2 linked regions of the Lytechinus pictus genome follow. The protein of the gene in region 2 interacts with the protein of the main gene of each other region in a pairwise test. Links are inferred from orthologs where the notes say so. Each region holds a gene or a part of one and is shown on either strand. Other genes may lie near its edges.

What was found.
Region 1: the proteins of DNA repair and recombination protein RAD54-like (region 2) and elongation factor 2b-like interact in a two-hybrid assay, tested with the Caenorhabditis elegans proteins (2 studies listed by BioGRID). The link is inferred for Lytechinus pictus from reciprocal best matches to the Caenorhabditis elegans genes rad-54.L and eef-2.

Annotation. Positions count from the first base shown.
Region 1 is NC_087249.1:23,436,030-23,444,740, reverse strand, and holds the start of elongation factor 2b-like, read right to left. Parts: upstream 4,216-8,711; 5' UTR 2,459-4,215; intron 2,283-2,458; 5' UTR 1,006-2,282; coding exon 764-1,005; intron 1-763. UniProt on the Caenorhabditis elegans protein: Catalyzes the GTP-dependent ribosomal translocation step during translation elongation.
Region 2 is NC_087255.1:21,260,448-21,270,095, forward strand, and holds the start of DNA repair and recombination protein RAD54-like, read right to left. Parts: upstream 3,600-9,648; 5' UTR 3,447-3,599; coding exon 3,444-3,446; intron 1-3,443.

The sequences.
Region 1 (8,711 bases), on a different chromosome or scaffold from region 2:
GTTGTTTTACATTATTTAATTACTATTATTTCTAAATATTGTTTTTTTTTTTTTTTAATGGTTGTTTTGTGATGAAAACTTTTTTACAGCAAAAAATGCAGGGCAAATGCTCTACAATATGCATGTAATTGTAAATCTATCATGATCTAGCGTAATCGGTTATAAAAAAGGCAATAATGTCCTTTATTCTTCATTTTCCTCTTTTTCCTAAAATTTTTTTTTTTAAATACTTTTTTCCTTCTATACTAAAATTTTGATTTCCATTACTGCCATTTCATGGTCTTTTTTTCTTTATTCTACAAATAATTCTTATTTTCATAGATTTACGTAGGAGAAAATGATTATTCTTCGTATTTTCACTAACTTTCGAGGCGTACAACACAAATAGCGAATATCCTTATTCATACAATCGTGCAACACTTCACATTCGGTGAATAGGCGAAACCTTGCACTCATGCCTATTTGCTATTTGTATATCCAGCACATGTGGCCTGATGGAAAAAAAATTTGAAGTAAAATACCAGGCTTATATAAGATGATAACCAAGTTCAACTGTAATACAGATGTATGTGCTTCCATGAAAACACCTTGTTCATCATATTGATCAGTGCCAAGACATTCATGTTTCAAGAGGGCAAGGATGGTAAGAAATCTAGGGTTGTGTGAGTACCTCCATAGGGAAATCAGAAAGGTTTGGAGATACATGTTGCATGTAGATAAAAAAGCAAACATTACTCAAATTAAACTACAAATCAATACTAACGTAGACTTGATGGTAATACAACGCTCCTGTTCATCCTTCCTGGTGTCGGTGAATCGCATCTCACCAGCCTTTGCAGTGGCAATGATTCCGGCCTTGCTCACCAAAGAGTCAGTCAGAGTAGACTTGCCATGATCGACATGAGCAATAACAGACATGTTCCTAATGTTCTGTTTTTTGTCCATGATGGTACGGATCTGATCTATTGTGAAGTTCACCTTAAAAAAAAAAAAATGACATAACATTTAAAAGTAGCCAAATAAACTAAACACCAAAAGGAAAGTACAGAAGAATACACTTATATCCATTAGGCAAGAAAATAATGTTAACCTTATCTTCAGTTAGTAATCCCTACATGTGGAGAAAAAAAAGGAGTATTTTCACCTTTCAATATCAATACTACTACCTCTACAAATATATTACGTGTTTACATGTATGTGCATGTATTTACCATTAAGATTTACAGGGACAGTGATTTTCCATTTCAGAAAATCTAAGTCTGTTTCAGCATGTCTGAAAACAGAATTTCCATTTCCCCATAGACTCTGTAAAATGAAATAGTGATAATTCTGCTTACATACCATGTAGAAATCAATACAAATATTATGCACTGAGTAGCGATGTCACAATACTCGCGCTGGGCAAACTTCACTGGTATTTCAATAAACACATTTAACATGAATACACCTATTCACCTTTCACATAATTAGCATTAATTTAGGGTTGAATGAGATTTTATTGATCATCTGGGGACTTTTTGCGATATATGCGTATCCAAACTAAGCTACTAACAAAGAGAACAAGATGGCCACTTAAACCAATATTATTCTCATGTTATTTTTCTGGTTTTTTTTTAAATAGGGGAGAGGGGTAAATAAAGGCAACATTTTTTTATAATTCCAATCATATCTCTTTAACCAAATATCTCTTTAACCAAATAGCCCCTGAAACGCCCGAGACTGCCCTTCCTGTTACACACTGAACCGCCCTTAACCGCCCGTACGTTTTATTTGCGCTATAGTATCTCTTGTATATGATTTACCGTGGTAATATTGCGTGTGCATACTGTATAGGTTGGCTGCTATATCGATCTGCATAGAAAAGTGTATGCTCCTATTGAGTATAATAGAGAACAAGTGGAATGCCTCTGGCGGTCTCACCTGCATCACACGATTCAATATAGCAGCAGTGCTGACTTTGAAAACTACTATAACTCGCACAAGATACTCAGTGATACTTGGTTACTCTTATGTCCACGTTTTATGAACTAGACCAATACACTATAGAGATATGATGGTATTTCAACAAATACCCCCAACATGGCCAAAGTTCATTGACCCTAAATGACCTTTGACCTAAATCATGTGACCTGAAACTTGCACAGGATGATCAGTGATACTTGATTACTATTATGTCCAAGTTTCATGAATCAGATCCATAAACTTTCAAAGTTATGATGGTAATTCAACAGATACCCCCATTATGGCCAAAGTTCATTGACCTTTGACCTTGGTCATGTGACCTGAAATGTGCACAGGATGTTCAGTGATACTTGATAACTCTTATGTCCAAGTTTTATGAACTACACCAATATACTTTCAAAGTTATGATGGTATTTCAACAAATACCCCCAATTTGGCCAAAGTTCATTGACCCTAAATGACCTTTGACCTAAATCATGTGACCTGAAACTTTCACAGGATGATCAGTGATACTTGATTACTCTTATGTCCAAATTTTATGAACTAGACCAATATACTTTCAAAGTTATGATGGTAATTCAACAAATACCCCCAATTTGGCCAAAGTTCATTGACCCTAAATGACCTTTGACCTAATTCATGTGACCTGAAACTTGCATAGGATGATCAGTGATACTTGATTACTATTATGTCCAAGTTTCATGAATCAGATCCATAAACTTTCAAAGTTATGATTGTAATTCAACAGATACCCCCATTATGGCCAAAGTTCATTGACCTTTGACCTTGGTCATGTGACCTGAAATGTACACAGGATGTTCAGTGATACTTGATTACTTATGTCCAAGTTTTATGAACTAGACCAATATACTTTCAAAGTTATGATGGTAATTCAACAAATACCCCCAATTTGGAAAAAGTTCATTGACCCTAAATGACCTCTGACCTTGGTCATGTGACGTGAAACTCATGCAGGACATTCAGTGATACTTGATTAACCATTAACCTTATGTCCAAGTTTCATGAACTAGGTCCATATATTTTTTAAGTTATGACATTTCAAAAACTTAACCTTAGGTTAAAATTTTGATGTTGATTCCCCCAACATGGTCTAAGTTAATTGACCCTAAATGACCTTTGACCTTGGTCATGTGACATGAAACTCAGGCAGGATGTTCAGTAATACTTGATTAACCTTATGGCCAAGTTTCATGAACTAGGTCCATATACTTTTTAAGTTACGCTGTCATTTCAAAAACTTAACCTTCGGTTAAGATTTGTTGTTGTCGCCGCCGCCGCCGTCGGAAAAGCGGCGCCTATAGTCTCACTCTGCTATGCAGGTGAGACAAAAACCGATTGACACGCATTTTGTAACATCACTTATCGAAGCAGGGTCAAACCTATTGTATTTGCGGTGTTTACGAATGGATCGAGGGATCTACAAAAGATCGGTCTGGTAAGAAACCTCTCATTTTTCATATTTATACTAAAATAATTTTAATCTATGAACCTTCATACGCCTATTGCATATACGGTAAAGGTTCATAGATAAATAAAATCAAGAGAAACAAACCGATCTCACTGTCTAATTATGTATTTCTTAGGGAAATCCATCCTTGTTGACAAGTCATCTCGCTTATGCATAAAGTCTATATGGCAAGCATTTCAAGGCTCCGTGATCAGTAGCGGCCCACGTCCAATATGGGAGACTGTCTCCCATGAGATTATCTCCCATATCAAGATACTTTTATCAAGAATTTGGGTATCCAATTTCAGAGACAGTCTCCAGTTTGGGAGACCAATTTTCTTTGTTTACATTTGCTGCAAAAGAATTAACTTGGCGGCAAATAAAAATGTGATACTGATAAGCAGATTCCTCAACTCATGAAAAATTACCCCTTTTCACCGTCTACTTTTGTTTTTATAAGGTTTTTTGTTGTCATCCACACATGAAACAAATGGGCTCTGACCTCAGTGGGACAAAATTTTGGGTGGAAAAAAAATCATGCTTTTGTTGGTGTTTCTTTGTTCTTTTGCAAAGCAAGTGTCCAATATGGGAGATTGTCTCCCTTTGGAAAGTGTCTCCCTTTGGAAAGAGTCTCCTATATTGGCCGTGCACCTCTACTCAGGGACTCGATTTTAAGGCGCGCGAGAGCGATTTTGCGCTACATGATTGGCAACTGGCTTAGTGCTTTAGGCCCTAGCTAGATATTTATTGCTGCAACTTATTTCATTATACTTATAAGCTAAGGGAAACATTGTCATCATTCACACAAGTACTATGAAATAATAAAAAAAATATTATTTTATGCAATAACATAAGAAAACAATGTGGGGATTAACCCAGGGAGCTCCCGCCCGCTGCGCGGGAGCCCAGGAGCTTACCGTGTATTTGACCATAGTCACCGGACTAGGGTGATTTATGGTCTGAATATTTCTCCAAATGAATTGTGAAAACAGAAAGTATACAATTACCACAATTATATGGATGAAGGTCTAACGAGTGGCAGTTTCCTGACATCTGGGCACAAACTGGAACCTCAAAAAACCGAAAAGTTCTCTCCTTCTACCCCCGTCTCGATCGGCCATTTTTGTTAAAAATCGTAACAAAATGGCTGATCGAGACTGGGGTAGAGGAGAGAACGTTTCGTTTTTTTGAGGTTCCAGTCTGTGCCCAGATGTCAGGAAACTGCCACTCGTTAGACCTTCATCCATATAATCGTGGTAATTGTAAGTTTCTGTTTTCACAATTCATTTGGAGAAATATTTAGACCATAAATCACCCTAGTCCGGTGACTATGGTCAAATACACGGTAAGCTTCCTGGGTTATGTGGGGATGTGACATCAGCCCACCTAAATAAATAGGTATATCAATTATCATTACTGAGTAATATTTCTAAATTCTACTCTAGTTGAGTAGTTCTTGGAGGAAAACAAATTTGAATAAACATAATTTCATATACCGGTCATGCCGGTAGGCCTAGGCCCTAAAATACAAAAGAACAAGTGGGGATGTGACATCATCAGCCCACCTACTCGACCTAGGCTAATGAATATTCAATAATTCATGACTAGGCCTACTATTTTCACAAAATATTGCTAAACTTTAAAATTCAATAACTGTTAAGTGTTAGGCCTATTTGTTATCCGATTTTGATGAAATTTTCGGCATTTTGCTCAGTGAATTCTACTCTATTTATCAAGCTATACCAATACTTTCAGCCCGGACCATCCCTTTTTTCAAATAATTCACACAACATCAACAGTCAACAAACATGAGTTAGGGACAACGGTATATTCGGTACTTGCTCTATCAAAGTCCCTACATACCATTGCGAGTGCGTCGAGCGCGTCCGTTGATCCTACGAAGCCCCAATAATGCATCCCTCTTGACTGATAATTTCACCCTAAATTCAGTTATTTCAGGTAGCTATGATATATTTGGCATTAAAAGGATCGGTAATTATTTGTCAGTAATTATTTAGTATTCTATATTTTCGAATGGCTTACCTCTACTTGTTCTTTGAATGGGAAAATATCGTACTTTGTCCTTGTATTCCACATGAACTGCAGAGTTTGTATGTGTATAAAGTCAATGGGGAAATTCAAAGTTTTGCACACGCGACCCGTCACCATGACGTCACCAGGATTGCGTGTGAGCGAGCTAAGTTTGATTTGGGGGCGGCACCCTCCAAAATTTGACCAATAAAAATTCTGCATTTGCTGCATCTTTTGGGATTTTCCCTAAATTCATGTCTCAGGGACCGTCTTGGAAGTGCATGCTGAGCTGTATAATCTTTTTGAAGGACCCACCCTATTCTACTTAAAGATATTCAATTAAAACATCTTGGGGCCCGTTTTGGGACTTTTCATTCTTAAAAAAGATGGTTTTTAGACGAAGTCTTATATCTAGATTAATTTAAGAAAAAAAAATTAGTGAATTTATTTTCAAATTTTAAAATGCAAAGCAAAAACCTCCATATGACGTGTACGTGACGTAATTATCGTCATGAAGTTGAAGATCGCGCGAAGTGGTGGGAGGGGCCTATCGCGAACGTAGACCATGTATTAGTCTTGATTCAGGCAATTTTTATGATTTGTAAAGTTCGTTTAAACTCTGTAACGTTGTGAACGGATATCATCCAAATAAAATAAATGAAAATAATTTTAAAATGTGAAAGGATGAAGGCTAGCACAATCTTTCTCTTAGGAACATTCAGCCCCCCCCCCTCCTCAGTTACAAATGTTAATCACGTGTAATCGCCGTGATACAAGGAGAGATGTTTTGGAAGGTCATGTGTGTGTGAGATATTGCACATGGCATAATGGCGGCATATACGTGTGATACAGGGAATTCTGTACAAGGATGTTTACACTTGTGTGTGAGAAGGTCTGTGACCGAGATGGTGGCATGGGAATAATGGAGTTAGAGTGGATTTAAAAACTGCGTGTGTAAAGCATGGACCTGTACGTTGCAACTGTACATTCGCTCTGGGGGCTAAATCCCAGGGCTAAATTAAAATAGGGGAATCCCCCGGTGTGTATAGTTTGATTAGTAATCAATTGTTAAGGCCTACTAAAGTATATTTTGTTTATTAAGAAATCTAAGAAATCAATGTTTTAAGTTGCAATGTTTACGCACAATATATGTATATATGCCCTCTCACAATCACACACATTTAAGATTTTATTTCTAACAGTAACATACTGATTGTTGTAAAATTAGGATACAAAAATTACTCGACGAGATGTCAGTTATTTTTTTATTTTCTAATGTATAGGCGGAGGGGGTGGGGGATGGGTTTCCTCGGTCCTGCGCCCTTGCTCTTAGCAAAAATAAATAAATGGATATCAAAAAAAAAATACCTGCAAAGAACCCGTTTACACCACCCCCCCCCAAAAAAACCCCCTGAAAATTGGAGGCCATTTATATGATTGAGCGGAGAGTTGGAAAAAAACGTTTTCGGTGAGAGACTCCCCCCCCCCCCACCCCCCCCCCCCCCCGCTGACTTTTACATCCGTAATCTGCTTTTTTATGGGAACATTCTTCTAACACTTCGTCTATCTTGCCCTGTCATGAGTGAAAATATAGTTCAAACAGGGATATGCAATATCCCTGGTTCAAACATGGACCTTTTAAAGCGTTGACAAAAAGTGGCAAAAAAGTCACGCTATTATGGGGCTTTTATACCAATGTAACCCGATATGAATAAATTAGGTATCCAATGCGACTGTCAAATTGAATTTACATCTGATTTCAAGGGATGTGCAATAGGCCTATATTGATTTTTTTTTTACACGGGGAGGGGGCCTACATAGCTCGTTTACATTTCTCGATTTTACTCCTTTTTCCGCCATGAGTCTCAACTTCCTACATGGGATATTATGGAGGATCGATGGGGTGGCCCTTAATTACCCCTTCTATATAGCTATCCCAGTAGGGGTCAGGGGTTGGATTCTGAATTAGGGTGGGGGTAAGGGTATCATCATGTAACAACGATCAGACGAGAATACTCACTTTTTAATTATTATTCTTTTTTTTTTGTTAAGTGAAAAGAGTTGCCCCCTCCTTCGGTGTCCCTGGTCGGTGCCGGTGAGTTTTCCAAAAGAAAAATATTCTGAAGGTTGCTATGGGGAACTCTTCGTCAATTTTGAGATATGACATTATTTCACTTATTTCACAAGTCATAATCATGAACATAATACAAATATTACATCAGAAGAATGAACATGACGTACAAATCAGACATGGCATCATTTATTTAAATTGAATAATACGGCGAATAGAAACATGAGGGAACCTGCATTAAAAGGCAACGTTTTATTTCTTCAGTCTGCAGGATCCAAAAAATATGAACTCTTCATGCAGGACAGCACAATAAAAATGATAATTTGATTACGTAAAGAAATGCCAAAAATATTACAACTGTAAAGAAAGTAATTCACATGGACTTTTTCGGAATAAGGAGGGTGTGAAAGAATAAGTTGTTTCTGTGAAGTTGCCGCGGTGTATACTTCAAAAGATTAATGCAGAAGGGTGTTGACAACAAAAAGAAAGTAATTTACATGGATTTTTCGGAATAAGGAGGGTGTGAAAGAATTTGTTTCTGTGAAGTTGCCGCAGTGTTGACAGACATGAAACAGCCTGTCCGATAAGGTCTTGGAAGCCAGACATTCCGTCGTCTTCGGTGGGAACATTTCATGAGATAAAATGAGTCATGTTTTTTTTTGCGTTTTCACTTCTGATTGGGTCAAAGCATTCATGTGCTGACCAGTGAAAAGCACCCCTTTCCATTGATCTTTTGAATGATCCCATGATGGGTTAGTGTGTCCTAGCCTGAATTATATAACACGAGAATACCCCCAGGGATCCCTGAGCTGGTTGTACCCCTGCCTTTCCGGTCCAGGGAATACTCCAGATGGACGAGGGCATTTACCACATCAGGTAAGAATCATCCATTACAATTCATAATTATTAATATGTAATTCAAATTTTATTTTCCACTGCGGAAATGTTCAAACCTTATTAATGTATTTTTATGTTATAGAGAGAGAATTTGAAATAAACATCCCTAAACCTCACTTAAATTATTTTAAATTGCAGTATATACAAATATTAATTTTAAATGTTCTTAATAACTTGATTCTTTTCCATGAAAACATTTTTTTCTCATACACTGACCCACCCTTTCTATAAAAAAAAAGGGAAGATACGTCCCGGTTTACGTCGTTATATATTATAGGCCTA
Region 2 (9,648 bases):
CTTAAAGTCGCAAGTGCAATTAAAATGAAGTAGAAGACGCAAGCACGCACGATGATTTGAAATATGTTATTAAAATGTTTTGGGTAGCTAGCGTTTTCAAATCAATTTGAAGTTCACGGCGGGGTCCGCTATCACCACGAGGTTGAAGAGAAGATGTCTATCATCATAAAGGGGGTAAGAGAGTAGCGCAGTGAGCTCCGTCGGTAATACGACCTTTCAAAGTTCACGGCGGCATCCGCTATCACCACGAGATTGAAAATAAAATGTATATCATCATAAACGATGTAAGAGAGTAACGCAATAAGCTCCGTCAATAGTACAGTCTTTAAAAGTTTGTGGCGGGGTCCGCTATCACCACGAGGTTGAAGAGAAGATTTATATCATTATAAAGGGGGTAAGAGAGTAGCGCAGTGAGCTCCGTCGGTAATACGACCTTTCAAAGTTCATGGCGGCATCCGCTATCACCACTAGGTTGAAAATAAAATGTATATCATCATAAACGATGTAAGAGAGTAACGCAATAAGCTCCGTCAGTAGCACGATCTTTCAAAGTTCACGGCGGCATCCGCTATCACCACGAGGTTGAAAATAAAATGTATATCATCATAAACGATGTAAGAGAGTAACGCAATAAGCTCCGTCAATAGTACAGTCTTTAAAAGTTTATGGCGGGGTCCGCTATCACCACGAGGTTGAAGAGAAGATTTATATCATTATAAACGGGGTTAGAGAGTAGCGCAGTGAGCTCCGTCGGTAATACGACCTTTCAAAGTTCACGGCGGCTTCCGCTATCACCACGAGGTTGAATATAAAATGAATATCATCATAAACGATGTAAGAGAGCAACGCAATAAGCTCCGTCAATAGTACAGTCTTTAAAAGTTTATGGCGGGGTCCGCTATCACCACGAGGTTGAAGAGAAGATTTATATCATTATAAACGGGGTTAGAGAGTAGCGCAGTGAGCTCCGTCGGTAGTACGACCTTTCAAAGTTCACGGCGGCTTCCGCTATCACCACGAGGTTGAATATAAAATGAATATCATCATAAACGATGTAAGAGAGCAACGCAATAAGCTCCGTCAGTAGCACGATCTTTAAAAGTTCACGGCGGGGTCCGCTATCACCACGAGGTTGAAAATAAAATGTATATCATCATAAACGATGTAAGAGAGTAACGCAATAAGCTCCGTCAATAGTACAGTCTTTAAAAATTTATGGCGGGGTCCGCTATCACCACGAGGTTGAAGAGAAGATTTATATCATTATAAACGGGGTTAGAGAGTAGCGCAGTGAGCTCCGTCGGTAATACGACCTTTCAAAGTTCACGGCGGCATCCGCTATCACCACGAGGTTGAAAATAAAATGTATATCATCATAAACGATGTAAGAGAGTAACGCAGTGAGCTCCGTCGGTAATACGACCTTTCAAAGTTCACGGCGGCATCCGCTATCACCATGAGTTGGAGGAGAAGATATCTATCCTCTTAAACATCGCCATAGATAATACCGCGTCTTTCTCCCTGAATAATGCGACCTCTAAATAGCTAGCACCTCAAAAACAATCTTGAAATATGTTCTGAGCGATCACGCACTGTAACCAGATCTACGCCAATTTTTTATTTTCGATTTTTTCCTTCAAGGGGCATGATCGAAGATCGGCAAGTGATTGCCGATTGTGGTGAAATCGAATGGAATCGGTTGCCGATTGCAAAATCGGTTACAAGCTTATACTCCATGGTGAAGAAGTATAACATCATGGGGCCGATTGCACGAAAGGGTCTTTCCAAGGACCGTCTTTCGTGTCGCCCATCTTTATAATGCGCTACAGTACAACTACAGTACAAGTGGTTGGGGGTCCTAAAGCTACGCGGGTCCTAAAGCTACGCACCACTCATCGCGCATGCAATTCCAATGGCAAAATAAATGCGCACTCTAGCTCTGTGTGTGAAGCTGTGACGAACGATCCCTATTCAATTTTTTTACAGAGGCTGCAATAAACCCTTGAATGCAGAGAAAACCAGCAAATGTTTGGAATTTCGGAGTTATATTCACTTTGATTTCATATTTTCCTATAATAATACGGACATATTTTAGAAATTGAGGCACAGGAAATACTATTTCTTTGCATGATAAATTGAGTGCGTAGCTTTAGGACCCCTTCTACATCGGGCGGCGAAATTAAGAGGTGTTCGGAAAACACGGCGGGATTTTCGTATTCGTGAGTTTTGTGATATTTTCTTCTTGGTTAAGGATATTTAGAATATTTATTACAAATTAGTGAAAAATAATTGTTCAAATATTAAAATTGGCATAGTTTTTATCGTTTGGAAACAAAGTGCGTAGCTTTAGGTCCCCCCATCATACAAGCGGGGTGTTTCTGAAATTTATGATAATCAAATACAATTCGTAAGCTTGCTTTTAAATCAAATTTATACAACTTTGTGAGATATCACATCATTTTATAAACAAATAGGCCTAGTTTGTTTATTTCAATGGACGAATAAAATATGTTTGCAGATAATTTATTTGAAATGCGTTTCATATGGCGCATCATAAAAAATGGGCGACACGAAAGACGGTCCTTGCAAAGACCCTTTCGTGCAATCGGGCCCCTTGAGTCCTCAAGACCACTCATTCAATGAACAAGGTTATGATATAACCTTGTTCTCAGTTATATCTCCATGTGTGGTAAAATAAGGATGGCAATGTTTGGCTTATTTTCTCTTTTTCTTTGGGACAAATACTTGATTTTTTTACACTGACAGTTTCCATTACCCCTATTTGTCATACAACTTGGCCCTTAAGTATATTTGATTCTTTAAATTATTTTTTTCTTAATTAAAAATAGAGATAAAAAATGAAAATTTTCTTGCCATATTATTTTCCACCAATAGAGGGCGTACACACAAATATGCCCAAAATTCAAGTTTTTAAGCGCTCTAGTGAATACAAAATTATTCTCAAGTTACTAATGAAAAATAAATTGCAACTAGGCCTAGGCCTATATGGAAATTAGTAATTTTGGTCACAAAAGTGATATTTTAATTATTTTTCAAAGTGTGTGCTCTGTACAGCATTGGCATGCCATAATCCAACCTGTAGATTCCCCACAGGCAGGGTGGTTGCAGTGAACAAGTGCTCAAGACTAGGTTCTACCAAAGCCTTGTAAAGGCAAAGACCCTTCTAACTCTAGACTAGTCTAACTAAGTAACAGGCCTGGCCACTGCACTTCTCCCTGGATCCGCGGCTCTGTGCAGCTAGCACCCAGCGGGGTGCGCCCGGCTGCTCGGCGCCTGACCCTTGCCTAATCTAATTCAGGTACCGTACCGTACGGTAATTGCCTTGCTGCCTGGCTTGCTGGTCCCGCTGACACCGTCTCTAAATAACTTTACAACTCACGACTTTTTAATACGGTACATTTAATATAATATGGAGAACTTACCATCTTCTTGTCACTTCTCTAATTCTTTAGAACAGCTGAAAACACGATTCTCATCATTCATCATTTAACGTCACTAATTCCAGTTTTTAGTTTAATAAACTTTATTAAAGCGATTCGCAGCCCGCAGGTTTGCCAGTCAAAATTCGAACGGAGCGCGCGCAGCAGCCTATGGAAAGCTCAGTGTTTCAACAGATCCAAAACAAATTTCCCGAAACTTATTCCAAAATTTCCCGAAATTCATAGACATTTCCTAGAATTTTCAAGTTTTATTTCTAACTAAAATCGGGCAATAATACAGCGAGCCTAAATTTGGTCCAAGTGACCAAAATCAAGGAATTCAACATTTTTTTTCACTCTCTTTTAAAATAGGAACAAAATTACGAATTGCGAGCGCGGGGCGCGAGACCACAATTTTGAGCTACGTATCGAGGTAAACAAATTTATAACATGAATATTAAAGTTGAAAAGTTTAATTGTAATTTTCTGGTTACCCGGAATTACCTGGATTTTTTTCATTACCCGAAAATTACCTGAAAATGATCCGGATTACCCGGAAATCGGGTAATTTCCTTCAAAGTGAAAACAGTGGGAAACTCGGCTAAACGATATGAACTCGATTTTTTTAAATACCGTTTTTTGTTTACTGGTAAAATTGAGTATTGATTCATAAAAGATACACCTCTATGATTGGTTTATATATCAGTGGCGGATCAAGCTTTTTGCAAAAGGGGGTTTAAACAGTCGGTTTGACCCAATGAAAGTGGCATGAAGCCTAAATTAATAAGGGGACCAGAGAAGATAGCATCTATGGGAGACTTTCTCCAAAGATTAAGCAAACAAAGCAAGCGCGCATAAAATTGACAAAGTTAATAAAAAGTATAATATTGTGATAGATTCTGACATGACATCCAGAAGAAAATATTGTATTCCACCCTTTTCTTTTTTTTTTTTTTTATATTTTCTCCCATCTACATAGGGGCGACCTCCGACCGCCTCCCTATGGTATTAAATTGAAAAATGAGGGAAGAAGAACAAAATATATTTTTTAAGAAAGAAAGGAAAGAAGGGAGGATATTGATCAATCAAAAAGAGATGTATAGCTCGTGTACTAACTCTTACAAAAATAAAATAAAAGAAATGAATGAAAAAAAAAATCAATTAAATATATGAAATTTTTGTGTTTTGACTTTGATCCACTTAATATTTATCTGGAATCCAAAATAATTTGGCCAAAACATAAAAAGGCTGCTTATTTCGTTCTTAATGAAACAGAAACAGAAATAGAAATGACAATTATCATTGATAATATGATAACTACCTTTCATAATGTTTTCATCAATTAAATCACAATTTGAGATGTAGAAGAGATAAGGGTTCATAAATCCTCTCATTTCGTGAACATGATCTGAAACAAACGAACATCAATTTGAAACTCAACATGACTCTGAGTGGATATTTTTCTCACCTTAAACTATTAAAATCCGAAAAATCTTTATTTCTTTTATACAGTATGTTTATATTTCTGTTGTATACTTGCATATACGCTCTATACATATTTCTTGGTCTTCATACACAATATCATATTATTATACACATTACTCAGCTTTTAAATCCTACGATCCGTAGGGGTACTGCTGGGGTATGCGAGCTGACTTGTCATCAAAATATGATGTAAGATAAGAAAGTCAGCCATAATTATGACGTTATAAAGATTCGGTTAATTTGACATAGTCATGCATATCATTGTCCAGGTCAGGGGCAGCGGAGTAAAGTTGAGGACGAATTAAGATGCGTATATTTTTTTAAGTATTATCTTACAAAGGGCACATTTCATTTTGAAAAATATATACTTTTTCCCTATGGAATTTTTTTGGATTATCACCCTGCCCCCCCCTCTCCCGATTCCACTACCCCTAGAGAAAAGAAAGGAAATGACACTATAATTATAACTAACAGACTTAAAATTTCGAACAAACGAGAAAAGAGAAGGGGCATTGATGAGAAATAAATATCATGGGCATATCAAAAAGTGACACACGGAAGAAAAATTTTACTATGAAAAAAAAAGAGCTATAAAGGGGGAAATAAATACATTTTGAAAGGAATTATTCAATTTTAAGCTGCACTTGCAGAAGGGAACAGAACGCTAAATACAGAAATTGACCTGATCGGGCATGGAAAGAACTTATAGATACGGGAATTGCATGCAGGGGCGACGGAACCGAGGGGGTGGCAGGGGCACTTGCTTGGTGATTACTATAAAAAAAAATCTGTATGACATTGACGCAAAACATGATAATCATGTACATAGCGACAGGCTTGCGGCGACCAAGACTTTGATCTCTAAACAACCAATTCAAGAATTATGTCATTCGTAATTCTCGAACTCGTCCTCAATTACATATTGTTTGATACGAATCCGACCTTTGGTATACCTAAGATTAACGGGGTCATCCTAACCCATAGAACTGATCACAGTTTAATTCATAACTAATTAATTAAACAACTCTTGGGAGCTACACTGATGTTGTAGACCAAAACGTAAAGTTAAACAAACGGACCAAGAAATTCTAAAGTAGTTATGATCAGTTGCACGTTGAGATAACGAGCTCAGAACATGCAAGTTTGATTAACACTCCTAAATTTTGCTCTCTAGAAAGGAGGAATTTGATCTGAAAATGACCGTTTCATCAAATTTGGTATTTATACTATGCTTATTTTTGCCTGTCCAGCAGTTCTGGGCCTGGGAAGCTAGAGATTTGGGATGGTTTCTTATCCGGAACCCAGCGTTTACGGCGATAGAGCCCCGGCCAGGAGGAGTCGGTGGATATGATCTCAGTATCAGCACCTTTTCAGCTATCCCAAATACTCTAGATTCGAACTATATTGTGCGTGATATAGCAAAACAGTTGGTGGAAGAAGGCGATGTGAGACGATTGAATACAGATGTGTTGGACGGAGGGTTGTTTTGGCCAAATGAGGTTGGACTAGTACCAGGTGAGTGATATCATGTATATATATGATAACAACAACAATAATAATGATCCCAGCACTCTCACCCCCTCAAACATACACCCACTTTCCCACACACACTCAAACACACATCCACACTTGTCATTTCAGGTTAAATTTATTTATATTTGAATAAATCACAAAATTTACAAATGATTATAATAAAAACAGAAATAAAATAAAAATTGAGAAAAATATTTATATTGAATATACATATATGTTTATGTATGTGGACTTCTCTATGCAGGAAATAGTCAACACTCGGTGAGTCAACTTTGAAAACACAGTGAAAACAATGTGGGCACGGTGTGATGCGTGTATCATTATGACACATGTGAAACGGTTCACACTGTTTGATTTCATTCCCTCACTGATTGATAACGAAAAACACACTTGTTTTTTGTGTTCACACAATCATGCTATTCGACACACATTCGAAACTTGCAACTGTGAAATTCATTTATCACAGTGTGTTCACACATCGCCCACGCAGTGAAGATTATATAAAACCACACTGTGTAGAAGGTATCCACTGCGGCTGCATTTGTACTGCACAATAATTTCACATAGTTCCACACAGTGACCACACTGTGAAGAAAATTGCCACTCTGTTGCATTTTTTCAACACAATGTGATCACAGTGTGAAGACATATTTTGCATATATTATTTACACATGAATGAAAAATACTTCCATATTATGAGAAAAAAATAAATATCCGCTGTTGATTTTGATTGAAAATGAAATCAAGAAATACATTTTCCCACAAAAAATGAAATAGAAAGTGGCATCCGATTGTCTTTGTTGATAATGATAAAAATAATAATTTACGCACCATAATCATAAATAACGATCAACATGGGATAAAATAATAAGCCAAGGCGCGCGGCCCCTGCCAGAAGGAAACACAGGAAGTCAATATATTTTTCTAAAAGAAAAAAGTACACAAAGTTTCTAAGAGTGCATATTGCATTTCCATTTATTTGAATGTAGGATAAAGAGCACTATCGATTAAATGCATTGCTCGCGGGGAAACATAGATGCCGTAGCCGGCGATCGAACCCCGAACTTTCAAGTGTGCCAGTGTGTCAGTACTATGTTCCACACTGTGTCACACTCACGTGGCCACCCCTCTGCCATAAATGTGGAATACGTTTTCACACTGTGGTAAGCCTACATAGTGTGTCATCATTGTGAATAATTACAAATATATCTTAACCATAGAGTGAAACAAGTGTGATGAAACTGTTTTTACCCCGTGATTAAGTCACCTACTGTATGTTAAGTCACAGTGTTGACACACTGAATACTTATGCACAGAGTGAAAACTTTTTCCTGTTAATCGCATGGGAATAACTATGTGCAACATAGTGTGTAAGACAGCATTGCCAGACACACTGTTTCACAGTCTTGTGACTGCGTGATATTTCTAGCAGGGATACATCAGCTTCGATAAAAATATTGTCTCCTCGTTTAAATTAAAAATTCAATAACTAATTAAAGATAAACAGATGAAATTATTTGAATGAGTAAATAAATAAGTAATTAAATTAATTGGTACAGAATTCTAAATAAACGAATAAATGAAATAGCCCTTCTGGAAAGAACACAGTGAGCACACAGTGTGATCACAGTGTGCTCACATAGTGGACTATGTGAAAATATCATCCACGCTGTTAAAATGCTCATGACTGTGACACCTCGACAGTGTGATTGTTCACAGCGTGTTCACAAGGCCTGCTGTGTGATTCATACTGTTGAAAACTCAAATTCAATAGTGTGTATAGGTGATTTCACAGTGTGTTCCACTGACTGTGAACACACTGTGGCACACACTGTGGGACACTGTGGGGTTTTTTCAATAGGGAAAACACCTTCACAGAGGTACAGTTTCTTTGACATTTTCATGCATGCATTGTCACCAACAGCAATATTTTGTTAAATGAACGTTCCCCAGCTTTGCTTGAGAGCTAACGCCTTTGATGCGATTCGATTTGATTTCTTCAGATTCCACATTACACATATACATGTATTTACAATAAACTACAATAAATAATTACAAAAATACATACATGTACGTAGGCCTACATATGGTAGCATGTATGTATGTATGTACATGCACATAAAATTAGTAAAGAAAATAGTAAGTGGAGGTATCTACTTGAAAAGCATGGTATATATGATTTTTAGTTTTATTCTTAGTTATAAAATACAATTTTCCTTGAAACAACAAGGATATCAAATCGAAAGGAAATGGGAAGAGATAATTGGAACTTCGCTACAACGTTTCTCATGTTTACAACAAAGAAGATATCAACAATGTCCCGTTTCTGGCCTGCCCGGATTTCAATTCAATTTAGTTTGTTTATTCTTCTCCGTTAAAAAACATCAAAATAATTATGTACATTAATTTTGTACTATAAACAGCTCAGGTATATACATGTATACTGTGAAAAATAAATCAAATACATATAACCGTAAAAAAATGTTACATAGATTTTTGAATGGAAAGGGGAACACCTGTAGAAAGCTTTAAAAGGCTTATAAATGGCAGGTGCCTAAGTAAAGCAAGCTAAATACGGATATGTTGACATACAATGCAATAAAAAGTGGTGCATGTACAGTATTTGAATTCAACGCCTTGTCCCCTCTCCCACTTCTCCACCCCCTTCTCTCTCTCTCGCTGTTTCAGTTTAGGCCCAATCCGCTTTTAGAAAGTTTTTAAAAAGTCGTTGTTTTATTTTACAACCTATATGTGCAATATGTCATTAGAGTTAGGTATATTCCCCGATAAACTCAAGGTGGCTAACGTAATTCCATTTTTTCAAAAAAGGGGTTAAATAAAAGGTTTCTAACTATCGTCCGATTTCTCTTTTATCTGTTTTTACTAAGACATTTGAAAAAAATTGTATATAATAAATCATTGAATTATACATGTATTGATAAAAACAATATTTCATACGAAAGACAATTTGGTTTTAGACAAGGTCACTCAACGAGCACTGCTCTTCACCAACACTCTTGCCAATGTTTTTGAACAGAAAAAGTTTTTAATTGGAATATTTCTGGACCTTTCAAAGGCGTTTGATTGCATTGATAACCATATATTATTGCAGAAACTAGAATATTACAGTATCAGAGGAAATATACACAATTGGTTTAAAAGTTATCTTTTTAATAGAAAGCAGTTTGTA